2 linked regions of the Arabidopsis thaliana genome follow. The protein of the gene in region 1 binds, or shares a complex with, the protein of each later gene. Each region holds a gene or a part of one and is shown on either strand. Other genes may lie near its edges. The genes, in order: AT1G20110 and AT4G34660.

The links.
Region 2: AT1G20110 (region 1) and AT4G34660 share a complex: the UniProt entries of both Arabidopsis thaliana proteins name them as parts of the phosphoinositide 3-kinase (PI3K) complex.

Annotation. Positions count from the first base shown.
Region 1 is NC_003070.9:6,969,564-6,975,711, forward strand, and holds AT1G20110 (RING/FYVE/PHD zinc finger superfamily protein), read left to right. Parts: upstream 1-1,860; 5' UTR 1,861-1,990; coding exon 1,991-2,995; intron 2,996-3,067; coding exon 3,068-3,154; intron 3,155-3,246; coding exon 3,247-3,378; intron 3,379-3,479; coding exon 3,480-3,611; intron 3,612-3,765; coding exon 3,766-3,831; intron 3,832-3,916; coding exon 3,917-4,027; intron 4,028-4,172; coding exon 4,173-4,265; intron 4,266-4,374; coding exon 4,375-4,408; intron 4,409-4,498; coding exon 4,499-4,566; intron 4,567-4,937; coding exon 4,938-5,015; 3' UTR 5,016-5,567; downstream 5,568-6,148. Other genes in the region: AT1G20100 (DNA ligase-like protein), read right to left, coding at 1-256, 346-616, 1,056-1,136; AT1G20120 (GDSL-like Lipase/Acylhydrolase superfamily protein), read left to right, coding at 5,941-6,148. UniProt on the Arabidopsis thaliana protein: Endosomal sorting complex required for transport (ESCRT) component regulating multivesicular body (MVB) protein sorting and plant growth. Required for the formation of intra-luminal vesicles (ILVs)in MVBs.
Region 2 is NC_003075.7:16,544,489-16,550,491, reverse strand, and holds AT4G34660 (SH3 domain-containing protein), read left to right. Parts: upstream 1-1,997; 5' UTR 1,998-2,197; coding exon 2,198-2,257; intron 2,258-2,712; coding exon 2,713-2,826; intron 2,827-2,904; coding exon 2,905-2,974; intron 2,975-3,083; coding exon 3,084-3,235; intron 3,236-3,488; coding exon 3,489-3,590; intron 3,591-3,725; coding exon 3,726-3,926; intron 3,927-4,016; coding exon 4,017-4,079; intron 4,080-4,199; coding exon 4,200-4,352; intron 4,353-4,582; coding exon 4,583-4,657; intron 4,658-4,780; coding exon 4,781-4,897; 3' UTR 4,898-5,302; downstream 5,303-6,003. Other genes in the region: AT4G34670 (Ribosomal protein S3Ae), read right to left, coding at 270-368, 465-665, 758-943, 1,014-1,151, 1,389-1,494, 1,585-1,632, 1,758-1,768; SQS2 (squalene synthase 2), read right to left, coding at 5,577-5,642, 5,739-5,781, 5,949-6,003. UniProt on the Arabidopsis thaliana protein: Regulator for autophaosome formation and/or maturation.

The sequences.
Region 1 (6,148 bases):
GATTCTTTGCTAGGCTTATGTTTCTTTCTCTTCTTTGATTCGGAAATAATTGCTACCTTGCCACTCTCAAGAGAAGTTGAGGGTACAGCCACATCATGATCACAGATACTTGGAAGAGAGACAGAACTTGGTAATTCGCTAGGTCTCTGAGTCCCTGAAGTGGAACAAACAGGATCCTCTTGAGGTACAGCTTCAGCTTCTTTCGGTTTCTTGAAAACAATACGAATCCGTAGTGGTTTACCAGCTACAGGTGTAGCTGCAAATGATTAAACGTCTCTGTTTCAGTATATGTATTCAAACACAATAAAGATATTCATCTAATCCGGGAAGAAACAAAGCACAAACCTTTGATTTGACTCTCAACAACAGCAGGAGAAGTTTCCCTTCTTCTCTTCTTACTGTTCTGGCTACCATCAGACAAATATCCAACCTGAGGTTGCTCAAATTCTTCTGTTAAACAAGATTTCTCAAGCTGTTCGGATTCATATGAGACTGTCTTGGTTGTGGAATACTTCTGTTCAAGGGATTTCTTCTCTTTCTTTAATTTCTTTTCTTTCTTTTTCTCCTTCTTCTCTTTCCGATGCAGCTTTTTAGAATCAACTATTGGTCTTTCGATCTTTATAATCCAATCAGAATAAAGGATTTAGACTAGAGGAAGGATTTATCAGGCAAACAACCAGATACCCATATACGTGGGTAACATCATTCAACCACAAACACACATAATGTTAATTACTCAAAACATATATCTACAACGCGTCTTTATGGTTGACTTTATAATTGGAGACCAAACCAAACTAACATACATGTCTACACGACATCGTTAAGAACGAAATTCATTATGCTAAAACATGTATAGTGTAGATTCAATTCATAGATCTATGCTGAAGATATTTTCCTACAATTTAACCAATCAATAACTTATATGCAACCTAGAGATCTGGCTACAAAGAGGATATTATAAGGAAATTTAACTCTGACCGAACACAGAAACCCATGTTCAGACAAGAGGACACCGTAGCGAATCAATCACAAGAATTGAGTGCTCGACGAACCTTAGTCCATTCGACCAAGTTTTGACCGTTCGCCCAGTTCCTCGCATACACAGGCGGTGGGGATGTGAAATATCGTGACATCGTTTTTTCTTCTTCTCTTTCTTTCTTTCTCAGATCGAATCGACTAACGGACAAGACAACGGACAGTAATTCGGACAGAACTAAATCGAACCTAGGTTTCAGATTCGCGCCTAATGAAACTTCTTCTTTGTGGCGCGAAATCAAAACGAAATCGATAACGAGAGACGGAAGAGAGAAGAACCCTAATTTTTTTTTTCGATTCGATTTTGTTAATCGATGAGAGAGAGAGAAAGAAGAAAAAAACCAATTGCGGTTGAGAAAATAATGGTGAAGGGTAAGGTTCTATTTAAAGACGCGTGAAACACTCAGATCCGCCGACTCGGGCTATACTTACGTTTTTGGAAAGAATAATGTGAAAACCCTAATTTGTAAGGGCTATTCCGTCAATTAGTCGTTATCATCTCCGTGAAGCTCGGTCCGAGTTTGCTACGTCATCTGAAATACCCTTTTTATCCTTTGCGTCTTTCTTACTCCAAACTTTATTATTGGGCTTAACAAAAACTACAAAAGCCCAAAACCCAATGTTAATACGAGGAGAATAATTAATTTTAATTGACTTTGTGATTAATGGGTCTCTTGTCCGACTTGGTTCCTTACGCTTGCATAGAAAAACAGCTACAATTATCTGTGGGCATCACGCGTTAAAAAACCATCTCTTACTTCTAATCAACGGTTCATTATACCGCCACGTGTATTATTATTAAATATACAAAAAAGTTCGCGGCACAGACAATCCTTCCCTCACCAAATATTCCCTTGACTCTCTCGATCTATCTTTCATCTTCATCTTCGTCATCGTTTCCAATTTCCGATATAATCTGATCAAATCATCGCCGACGATCACCGATTCAGCGATGCAACAGGGAGATTACAATTCGTACTATCACCACCAATACTCTCAATTTCAAAATCCTACTCCGAATCCTAATCCTAATCCCAATCCTTCTCCGCCGGCGCCGGCAACCGTAGCTGGTCCGACCGATCTTACTCGAAACACGTACGCATCAGCGCCACCGTTCACCGGCGGTTACGGTTCCGCCGATTACTCTAACTATTCACAGAATTACACTCCTTACGGGCAAAACTCTGAGCATGTCCCTCCTTCAGCTCCTTCCTTCACTTCACCATCACAACCTCCTCCTTCTCCGCCGGCGACATCACTAAACCCTAATTCTTATTCAACCTTCAACCAACCACCACCTCCACCCACGATTCATCCACAACCTCTATCCTCTTATGGATCATTTGATTCTACTGCTCCGTATCAGCAACCTACCTCGCAACATATGTATTACTCACCGTATGATCAGCATCAAACCTCTGGCTATTCATCTGCGCCTCCTCCTTCATCTGCGCCTGCGCCGAATCCTAATCCCGCGCCTTATTCATCATCCTTGTACTCTGCACCTCCTTATAGTAGCGGAGGATCATCCATACCTCCTTCGTATGAGAAACCGTCAGTGAAATTTGATCAATCTGGTTATGACGGTTATAACCGGAGCAGATCGGATTTAGGATCTGATCTATACGGAAAACGATCTGATAGCGGAGAATATCCTGCTTTTGAAGATTCCTATGGCGATGGCGTTTATGCTTATCAAGGAGGCAAAGTTGAGCCATACGGTTCTCGTGGAACTGCGCCGAAATCATCGAATTCAACATTGTTCGATGATTATGGACGATCCATTAGCTTTTCTTCTTCAGGGAGAGATTCTTCTGTTAGCTCGAATTCTGCTAAGATCGTGAGAGCTGTTCCTAAGGCTGATGTGCAGGAAGATTCCACTGGTGGTGTGCAGAAATTTCGTGTCAAATTGTTGGCTGAGACTTATGGACAAACCACAACAGATGTTCTTTGTCAGGTAATGTCCCCAATTCAATTTGAACTTTGTGTTACCTAAACTAGTTTTAGTGAATTGGTTTTGTGCTAGCAGATTGGTTTGGATGGTCTTCGTATGCTTGATCCAAGTACTAGCCGAACTTTGAGAATATATCCTCTTGAGAACATCACAAGATGCGAAGTAAGAGATTATCTACCTTCTTCTTATGACTGAATTTGTTCCATTTTTGTGACTGGAGGTCTTATCTATTGTTGTAAATGTCTTTCTATCAGAAACTAGATTCGTCTATTCTGGCTTTCTGGTCTAAGACTCCGGTAGACATTGAAGCTAAACGTATCAGATTGCAATCAAATAGTTACACCACCAACACCCTTCTGGACACTGTGACGGCTGCAATGTTTCAGGTTCATAAAATTTACAAATTTTGTTTCATTAAAAGTCTATATGTCAATTCCATCATGATTTCTTTTGACTAATCCAATGTTCTTATGTTGGTGGGTTTTAGGCCAAGGAGATCGGGGGAAGTAGCAGGCCTCCCACCTCTGGAAAACTGATTGAACAAACTGCTGAGAAGAAAAAAGGATTGGGTGATTGGATGAACATTATAAAGCCTGTTAATGAGGAGAAAGATCATTGGGTAGGTTTTTTTTTTTTTGGAAGAAAAACACATTTCTCTTGTAGTCAAAGTAAAAGGGCTAGGGTAGTTTTGGTGATTAGTTACATCACTTGATTCTTATTTTCTTGCTTAGCTGTGGTATGTTGTTCTCATTCCATGTTATTTTTGGCTTTAGGTACCTGATGAAGCTGTTTCTAAGTGCACATCATGTGGTTCAGATTTCGGTGCATTTATACGAAGGGTATTATTTTCCCCGATCTAACAATCTGAATTAAATTTTTGGCCATGTTGGGACTATCAAACCTTATGGATTTTTTATTTTCTAGCACCACTGCAGGAATTGTGGTGACGTCTTCTGTGACAAGTGTACTCAAGGCAGGATTGCTCTCACTGCTGAGGATAATGCTCCTCAAGTCCGTGTTTGTGACCGGTGCATGGTATGCTTATCTGTCTGTTTATTTTTCCTTAAGTTGAGAAATCATGTTCCGTTGATTCCTGAGAATGTAGCTTTAAGTTAATTTGAACTGGTATCTTGTCTTTTATGCGTATGCCTCTAAGTTCAATCTGTTTCTGGATGTGCAGGCAGAAGTGTCACAAAGGTTGAGTAATGCCAAGGAAACCACTGGCAGGAATGTGAGCCTGCAGAGCCATGAAGACCTTGCTAGAAAGTTACAGGTGAGCTAATCGTCCTTGGTTCTTTATTAAGTTTAATGATTTACAAGTTGAGTTAATATCTTGGGCAAAGTATATAATTGTTTTCTGATGGCGGATATGTTTGATACAGGAGGAAATGGAGAGAAACCGCAAGTCTTCGTCTGGTAATTTTTCATATCTAATATACTTATGTTTATGATATATTGTTTCTGGTATTTTATGGTTGCTGACAATGATAGCTATGATTCTAACAGGTTTGAGGGAAGGATCTGGGAGGCGGATGAAAGAAGTAGCTTGTCCAACATGCACTGTGCACTTACAGGTTAGATCCTTTGATAGCATGTCTTTCGTTGTATGATTTTGGGACCCAATTTTTTCTAGAATAAGGAAAACAGGGAGGTCCTCATAATCACTTGTGTCAGTGTGTATGATCATCTTGCAAACTACATTGACGAAATAGAATAGCTAGAGAAATGTTTATGTCTTACGTGAGACCTCTAGTATTAAACAGTTACATATGGTCGATGTGATTTTCTATTAAGATTGGATCATGGAGATTGTCGCTTAATCATCTGAATAAATAGTTAAAGCAAGTTGATAGATAACTCGAGGCAGATTGGAATTTGAAGTTGGCTTGTTTGTAGTGTCTCTTGATAGTATGCGTTTATGAGAGCATTGCCATTTAAATTGCAGGTCCAGGTTCCAGTCTCAGGATCAGAGACCATTGAGTGCGGAGTTTGCCAAAACCCTTTCCTCGTTAGCGCACATTGATCTTCCTACCCGCTTTTTTGCTTGACATATATATCAATTATAAGTATGAGATTTGGTTCATTTGGTTATTGAATTGGGTTTGATCACATCAAAATAAGTTCTTGTCCTGTCTCATGTGGATGGTGTTTCCCCTTTGTGTGTATATGAAAGTCTTTTGAGTGATGAACATCTTATACTTTTCATGTAGTCTGTTGTCCTACTGATGTCTGATTGGTTAATTTACTGTATCAGTCCTCCAATGTCATTACTCCTGCTTCAATTTCTCTGACCACTCACATGTAGTCCAATCGGTTCGTTGTTCATTATGTATTTTACTACCATTAGGTCCAAACACTTGAAACGTTATGTTATACTGCGCCTGGAACCGAAACAGAGCGGTTTCAAGTTGACCTGGTCTTCTTCCATGGTAATTGCAAATCCTCTGATTCGAATCAATGAATGCTACAATGGTGTAAAATACTGTGCTACAATGGTGTACCAAATTTTTAAGCTTTCCTTTCATATTCAATTGATTCAATTAGGTTAAGTATCATAAAACGCTTTAATATTCTTGTCCACACTTGTTCTTTCTCGAGGGTCGAGGCTGTGTTTATTCGAGTTGTTTTTGGAAAATCATCTCGTATTTTTTTTCTTTTGAGAGAATAGTGTAGAAACTGTGGTCTTATAGTTTTAGAGGGTAATACGAAAATGAGAGTGCGATTAGTAATGGATAACTGAATTTAAGAAAAGTTCAAAGTGTGTGAATGAGAAGGAGTCGTAAGAGACAAGCATCTTCTTCTTATAACCATCTAAACCACATGCTTATGTCCACTTTTTTTCTTTCTTTCTGAGTGAAAAACACTTTAGTCTCCCACTCTTTATATTTTGTAGCTTCACAGCAAAAATTCTCTTTTACTTATCAGACAGATAAGATCATATAGCAAATATGTTGCAAGATAGAGTTTCTGGTTCTTTGTCTAGTTCGAAAATATCTCGATGTGTTTTGTTTCTCTCACTCTTTTGTTTCTTCCTCTTGACGATGCATGCTTCAGCAAACCGCTTACAGCGAGTTCCAAATCCAGGGCCTTCCCCGGCACCAGAGCCTAAGCCATGTCCGAGTCCAGGGCCAAACCCCGCACCAGCGACAACTAAGA
Region 2 (6,003 bases), on another chromosome or scaffold:
TCTTCTCAAAAGTTTTAACCTTTTTACAGTTTGACTTTGATGTAAATCCTAATCTTGTCCATTTAAATATTTGAAGAGAGAGCAAATCCAGATTCCAAAAATGAAAAGAAGAAGTGAAGAACTAAGACATATAATAAAAAAGGTAAAACATGATAAACAATAAAGATCATCCATCAAAAACGAGTCCAAAACCAGTCACACCAATGGCGACATAACATTAGGTTCTTTTTTTTTTTTGCCAGCGAAAAAACAAACAAATCTATAATCCCCTAAGCTCCGATGATTTCTGTTGGCTCCTCAACCATTGTCTCATCAGCTGGCCTGTCTACCTTCACACCAACATCCTCTGCTGTGTAATCTCCATGCACCTAAAGATAAACCAAAACAAAAAGAGTTAGATTTCATTACATCCTTGGAACCAAGACTAGTGCATCAATGATGAAATTAATGTGACTTCAATCTACCTCCATGAGCTTTCCAAGGTCAAACTTGGGAGCCTTTAGGATCTTCACTTTACGGATGAACACATTCTGCAACGGGTAGATGCCCTGTGTTGCCTTCTCAATCTCTCTTCCAATGGCCTCTGGGATGAACTTGGCCACTAGCTCCTTGAGGTCACAAGATGAAGCCTCCTTCACCATAATCTCACTCATCTTTCTGCGGATCTACAAGAATCAAGAAACATTTACAAGGAAAATGTTAATCTTCTGTTTACAGAAAGCCAAATAGTAAGCACATGGTATGATAATGTTGTAACCTGACGGATTTGGCTGGATTGAGCGTAACAGGTACGCTTCACTTGGTTAGCACGTCTCTTTGTGAAGGCGATGCAGAACATCCTCAAGGTGTAGCCGTCTGTGGTTTTCACATCGACATGGGCTTCAATCAAAGTCTGCCACTTCTTCACCAATGACCTTAGCTTGTCGGTTGTGAAATCCATACCCTACAGAGATCACAGATTAAAAACCGCACTCTGTATCAATATGCCAGTAAAGGAGTGGTCTTTATCTTACCCAGAACTGGGTCAACACATTCCTTCCCTGAACATCTTCAGCTCTAAGACGGATCTTCCTGTAGGCATTATCCTCATCATTTTGTAGATCAGCAAGAGAAACCTCAAACACCCTGTGTTTCAGTCCCTCAGAGGCAATCTGTTTAAATTAAGAGATAGCCCAGATAACAAAGTCAGATTTGTCGAAGAGGAACACGCTCTTTTCTATCACAAATGCAATTCCTATTACTTCAATAATGAAAGCCACCAAGAGCAAATGCCCATCTCTACACCTCACATTCAGCAAATGACCTATGCCATGAGATAACTATAGACTCAAAACCTAGAAAGCTCTAACCTTTCTCCAGTATAGTAATAGAAAGACATAAGACATTACCTTGGTACCCTGAGTCCTGGAAACAAGAGTCTTCCCAACATTCCTGTTCGTGAAAGAACCAGGAGCCTTCACGTCATACCAATCCTTCTTGGAGAAGGGATCAACACTGCACCATCCATAACAATTCAATCACGAACACTATATACAGATTACAATTAGAAATCTGAGAATTTTATTCAGGACATAGGTTACTTACGCCTTCTTCTTTCCTCCTTTCCTACCCTTTGAAATCCTCTTGTTCTTCCTATATGATCAAACAAAAACCTTAAATCAGAACATGATATACTCGAAGCTATGATCAAATGAGAGATTCCAATACAGAGACTGGAGAAACAAGCAAGGAATATAGAGATGCGAAGAGAGATTTACCCGACAGCCATGGTTAAGGGTCTTCTAGATGGTGTAGCGACGACGAGCTACAGTGAGGAAGAAGAAGAAGCGGCTTCAACAAGTGAGAGAAAGCCCTAATTCACTGGCTTTTCATTTATATATGTCTAGGGTTTTGCGTCTTTTTAGTTATTTTGAGATGATATAAATTTATAGCTTACTGGATTTTATTTTCAAGCCCAATGGGCTATTATAGAGAGCCCAATATTAACCTTCTTGGTGAAACAGAGACTTTGTCTATCTTTGATTTCTTCGTGTTCGAAAGCAGAGAAATTTGTTCTGAGCTCAACGCCATTTTTGACGATTTCGAATCTCTGTCTTCTCTGAGTTGTTCCAAGTAATCGGAGGGAACTCGTAAAGTGGAAGAATAGGAGAAAGAGAGAAGGAAGAAGATTTGTGAATAGCTCTTGATCTGGTGAAGAATGGATGCAATTAGAAAACAAGCTAGCAGGTTGAGAGAACAAGTTGCGAGACAGCAGCAGGTTAAAGTTCTTAACTTTTGGTTTGCCCATTTGCTTAGATCCCGATTCTGTATCTTTTTTTCTAGATTTTGTTTTTATCTTCTCTTGTGATTCCGTTGAGTCGTTGGTTTCTGGTGAATGAATCAATAATGTGATGATGATAAAGGGGCTAGCTTTTTTTCGGATCGATGGTTTTTGACTTAATGAGTAATTGGATCTGAGTGTGATTAATACGTTGATTCGATGTGAGATTGGGTAAAATTCTGTAGAATTGGAGAAGTTTTTGTCAAAGGGTAATTTAGGATACTTTTATGTGAGAATCCGTTTCAGTTTTGTGAGCTGGGATTTGAAAGATGTTGTAGTGATAGATTAACATATTGGTGCTACATGTTCCAAGTTACCATGAGATTGGGTGTTTGTGTTCTTGAGTTTGAGGTTAATTAGTACACTGACTTAGTTTTTGTGGAATGGTTAAGGCTGTCTTTAAGCAATTTGGAGGAGGGGGATATGGCTCTGGTTTAGCTGATGAAGCAGAACTCAATCAGCATCAGAAGCTAGAAAAGCTTTACATATCCACTCGTGCTGCTAAGGTTGTTTTTCTTAAGCTTTTGACTAGTTTGAAGTTTTGATTACTATTGATTTTGGACTCATTCGTTCTTCGTTTTCAGCATTACCAAAGAGATATTGTTCGTGGTGTGGAAGGTTATATAGTTACAGGGTCAAAACAAGTTGAAATAGGTGATTTTTTTGACCCTTTGAGTTTTAACTTATTGTATTTTTTTATGTCTGTTATAGACTTGAATTGGCTCACAGGCCTGTCTTTCATTTTGCACTCATTTTTCATCAGGTACGAAATTGTCTGAGGATAGCAGGAAATATGGTTCAGAGAATACATGTACGAATGGTAACGTATTAACACGGGCTGCACTGAACTATGGGCGTGCTCGAGCACAAATGGAGAAGGAACGTGGAAATATGTTGAAGGCTCTTGGTACACAGGTTTGTCTTTTTCATCTTCCATCAAAGTGTTAAGCAATAGCACATATCTGTTGCATGCAATATAACTACACAAATAATTACTTTCCTGCCATTGTTAGTGGAATGACTGCCATTTGTGGGAAGATCTATTTCTTTTATCTGGAATAATTTGTTACATACTCTTTAAAAGTCAATTAATGTCATGGTGTTCACTTGGTTCTTTCTTTATTGCGGTTTGGCTACTACAATCATATGTCAATCCTGAATTTGTTAGGTTGCTGAGCCATTACGGGCAATGGTTTTGGGAGCTCCATTGGAGGATGCTAGACATCTTGCTCAACGCTATGACAGAATGCGCCAAGAAGCTGAAGCTCAGGTACGGTGAAAGATAATACCATGAAGCTATTTAATTACCGTTAGTAGAATATGGGTTTTTTCCTCTTCCAAGAACTAGTCATTTTATTATTCGCATGATAGAACTTTACTTATGCGCCTGCTTTAATCCAAACAGGCTACAGAAGTTGCCAGACGCCAAGCAAAGGCGAGAGAGTCTCAAGGTAATCCTGACATCTTGATGAAACTGGAATCTGCTGAAGCAAAACTTCACGACCTAAAATCAAATATGACAATATTGGGGAAAGAAGCTGCTTCTGCTTTAGCTTCCGTTGAAGATCAACAACAGAAATTGACTCTTGAACGACTTCTTTCAATGGTAGTGCGATTGGTTACAAGATCCATTTCTAGGTCAACTTTGATTTACTTACCCATATGTAACAACTGTATTTTTCATTCCTGATCACAGGTTGAATCTGAACGCGCCTACCATCAAAGAGTCCTCCAAATACTTGATCAGCTCGAAGGAGAGGTTGGTGTGCATTAGTTTTACAGCTTTCAGTTTCCTGTGATAATAGTATTCTTGTCGAACAATCAGTTCATCATTATATGAGTCAACTAAGGACAAAATGGAACATTCTTGAACCTACAGATGGTATCTGAGAGGCAACGTATAGAAGCTCCCTCTACTCCCTCAAGCGCAGACAGTATGCCGCCACCTCCATCATATGAGGAAGCTAATGGAGTGTTTGCATCTCAGATGCATGACACGTCAACAGATAGCATGGGTTACTTCTTAGGAGAGGTATGCTTTTCAGTCTTTAATACCTTCCTTTTAGAGTTAAAACTTTGGTTTATATTGGTAGTAAAAGTATCAAAGAGATAATTGGATTATAAGTTCTCCACGTATGAACTGGATGTACATAAACTGTTTTTGATTAGAGAACCAAAAAGACAGGCTACATCTAGATTCCTTTTGGTCCTCATTGATGTGCCATTATAACATATTATTTCCCTTTTTAAAAACGTTTTCAGGTCTTGTTCCCATATCACGGTGTGACAGATGTCGAGCTCAGCTTATCAACTGGTGAATACGTTGTTGTTAGAAAGGTTCGATAGTAAACCAACTCCCACATGAGAAAAACCAACAAAGTCTCCTTTAATTCATATTAACCAATACGGTTATTCAGTAGTGTTTGTTTGATATACCACTTCTCTATTTGTCATTGCCAGGTTACAGGCAGTGGATGGGCCGAAGGTGAATGCAAAGGCAAAGCTGGTTGGTTCCCTTATGGGTACATTGAAAGACGGGAACGAGTTCTTGCTAGCAAAGTGTCCGAAGTTTTCTGAGAATTTGAAGGTAACATTATGGTTCTTTGTTGGTTATGGAATTGAGTTGCTTCTGTAGAAGAGTTGTGTGTTCTGTAGAAGAAAAAGAAAGAAAAGATTCACGGGCTAAAACAGAAGTCCATATGCATGAGGATCAGAGTTGATGCGGGTTTCTGCCATGTTCTGAATCTAATAGTGATGCCACTTGAACAAGAGTTCAGTTTTTAGGTATTATCTTCATATTGGATTTGGATATTTTCTTTGTCATTTGATGTAAACGCCACATCTCTGTTTATCTTCGTATGTGAATACACTTCTTTTCGGGTCTTATTTGTGATTTTTTGTCCAAATTACTTTCATTTGATAACCTTGAAACTTGATGAAGAAGTGATTATTTTTCAAATTTACGCAAATGATCATACGCTTAAGTGTGTTAGTGCATTATTTAAATATCACTCTGCAATTTATCAAACTTAAACTTCAGTAAGAATTCCGGAAAACCAACATTATGAGCATGATGGTTGAATTTATAACTTCATAAAAATGAGAAAACAGAACAACTGAAAAGGAAGAGAGAAAGAACAGAACATTTTGACGGTTGAAGTCGTAGACAATCTTGAATAGACTATCAATTCAAGATTTGATCAAACATTTCAAAAAAGCTAGAAATTATGTTCATGATGACTTCACAAAATCAGAGTCACTTACATTGGTTTGCTTTGAGATATACAACGACTATGGCCAGTAGAAGCACAAACATTACAACCTGCAATTTCAGGAGTAGATTAGAGGAGGAGGATAAGTAACTTAATCCTATATATGAAAGAATTTCTATGGAAGTCTGATACAAATCTGAACTTACAAAGATAGCCTTGGATTGTGTTTCATCGTTAACATAAGATTTTCTGACCAGCATTAAGAAGAAAAAACAGAAAAAGATTCATTAGAACCTCAACCAAAACATATAAGATCATTCTCGTAATAAATGAACATGACAAGATTGGTCAAGTGACTTTGGATCTTCTTTTATTTGATAGAACAACTAGAAGAAACCAAAAAAAAAACAGTCTACCTTTTGTGAAGTCCTCCATTTTCTTTGCAAAATTTCTTGATGGTTTCGAGTCGGT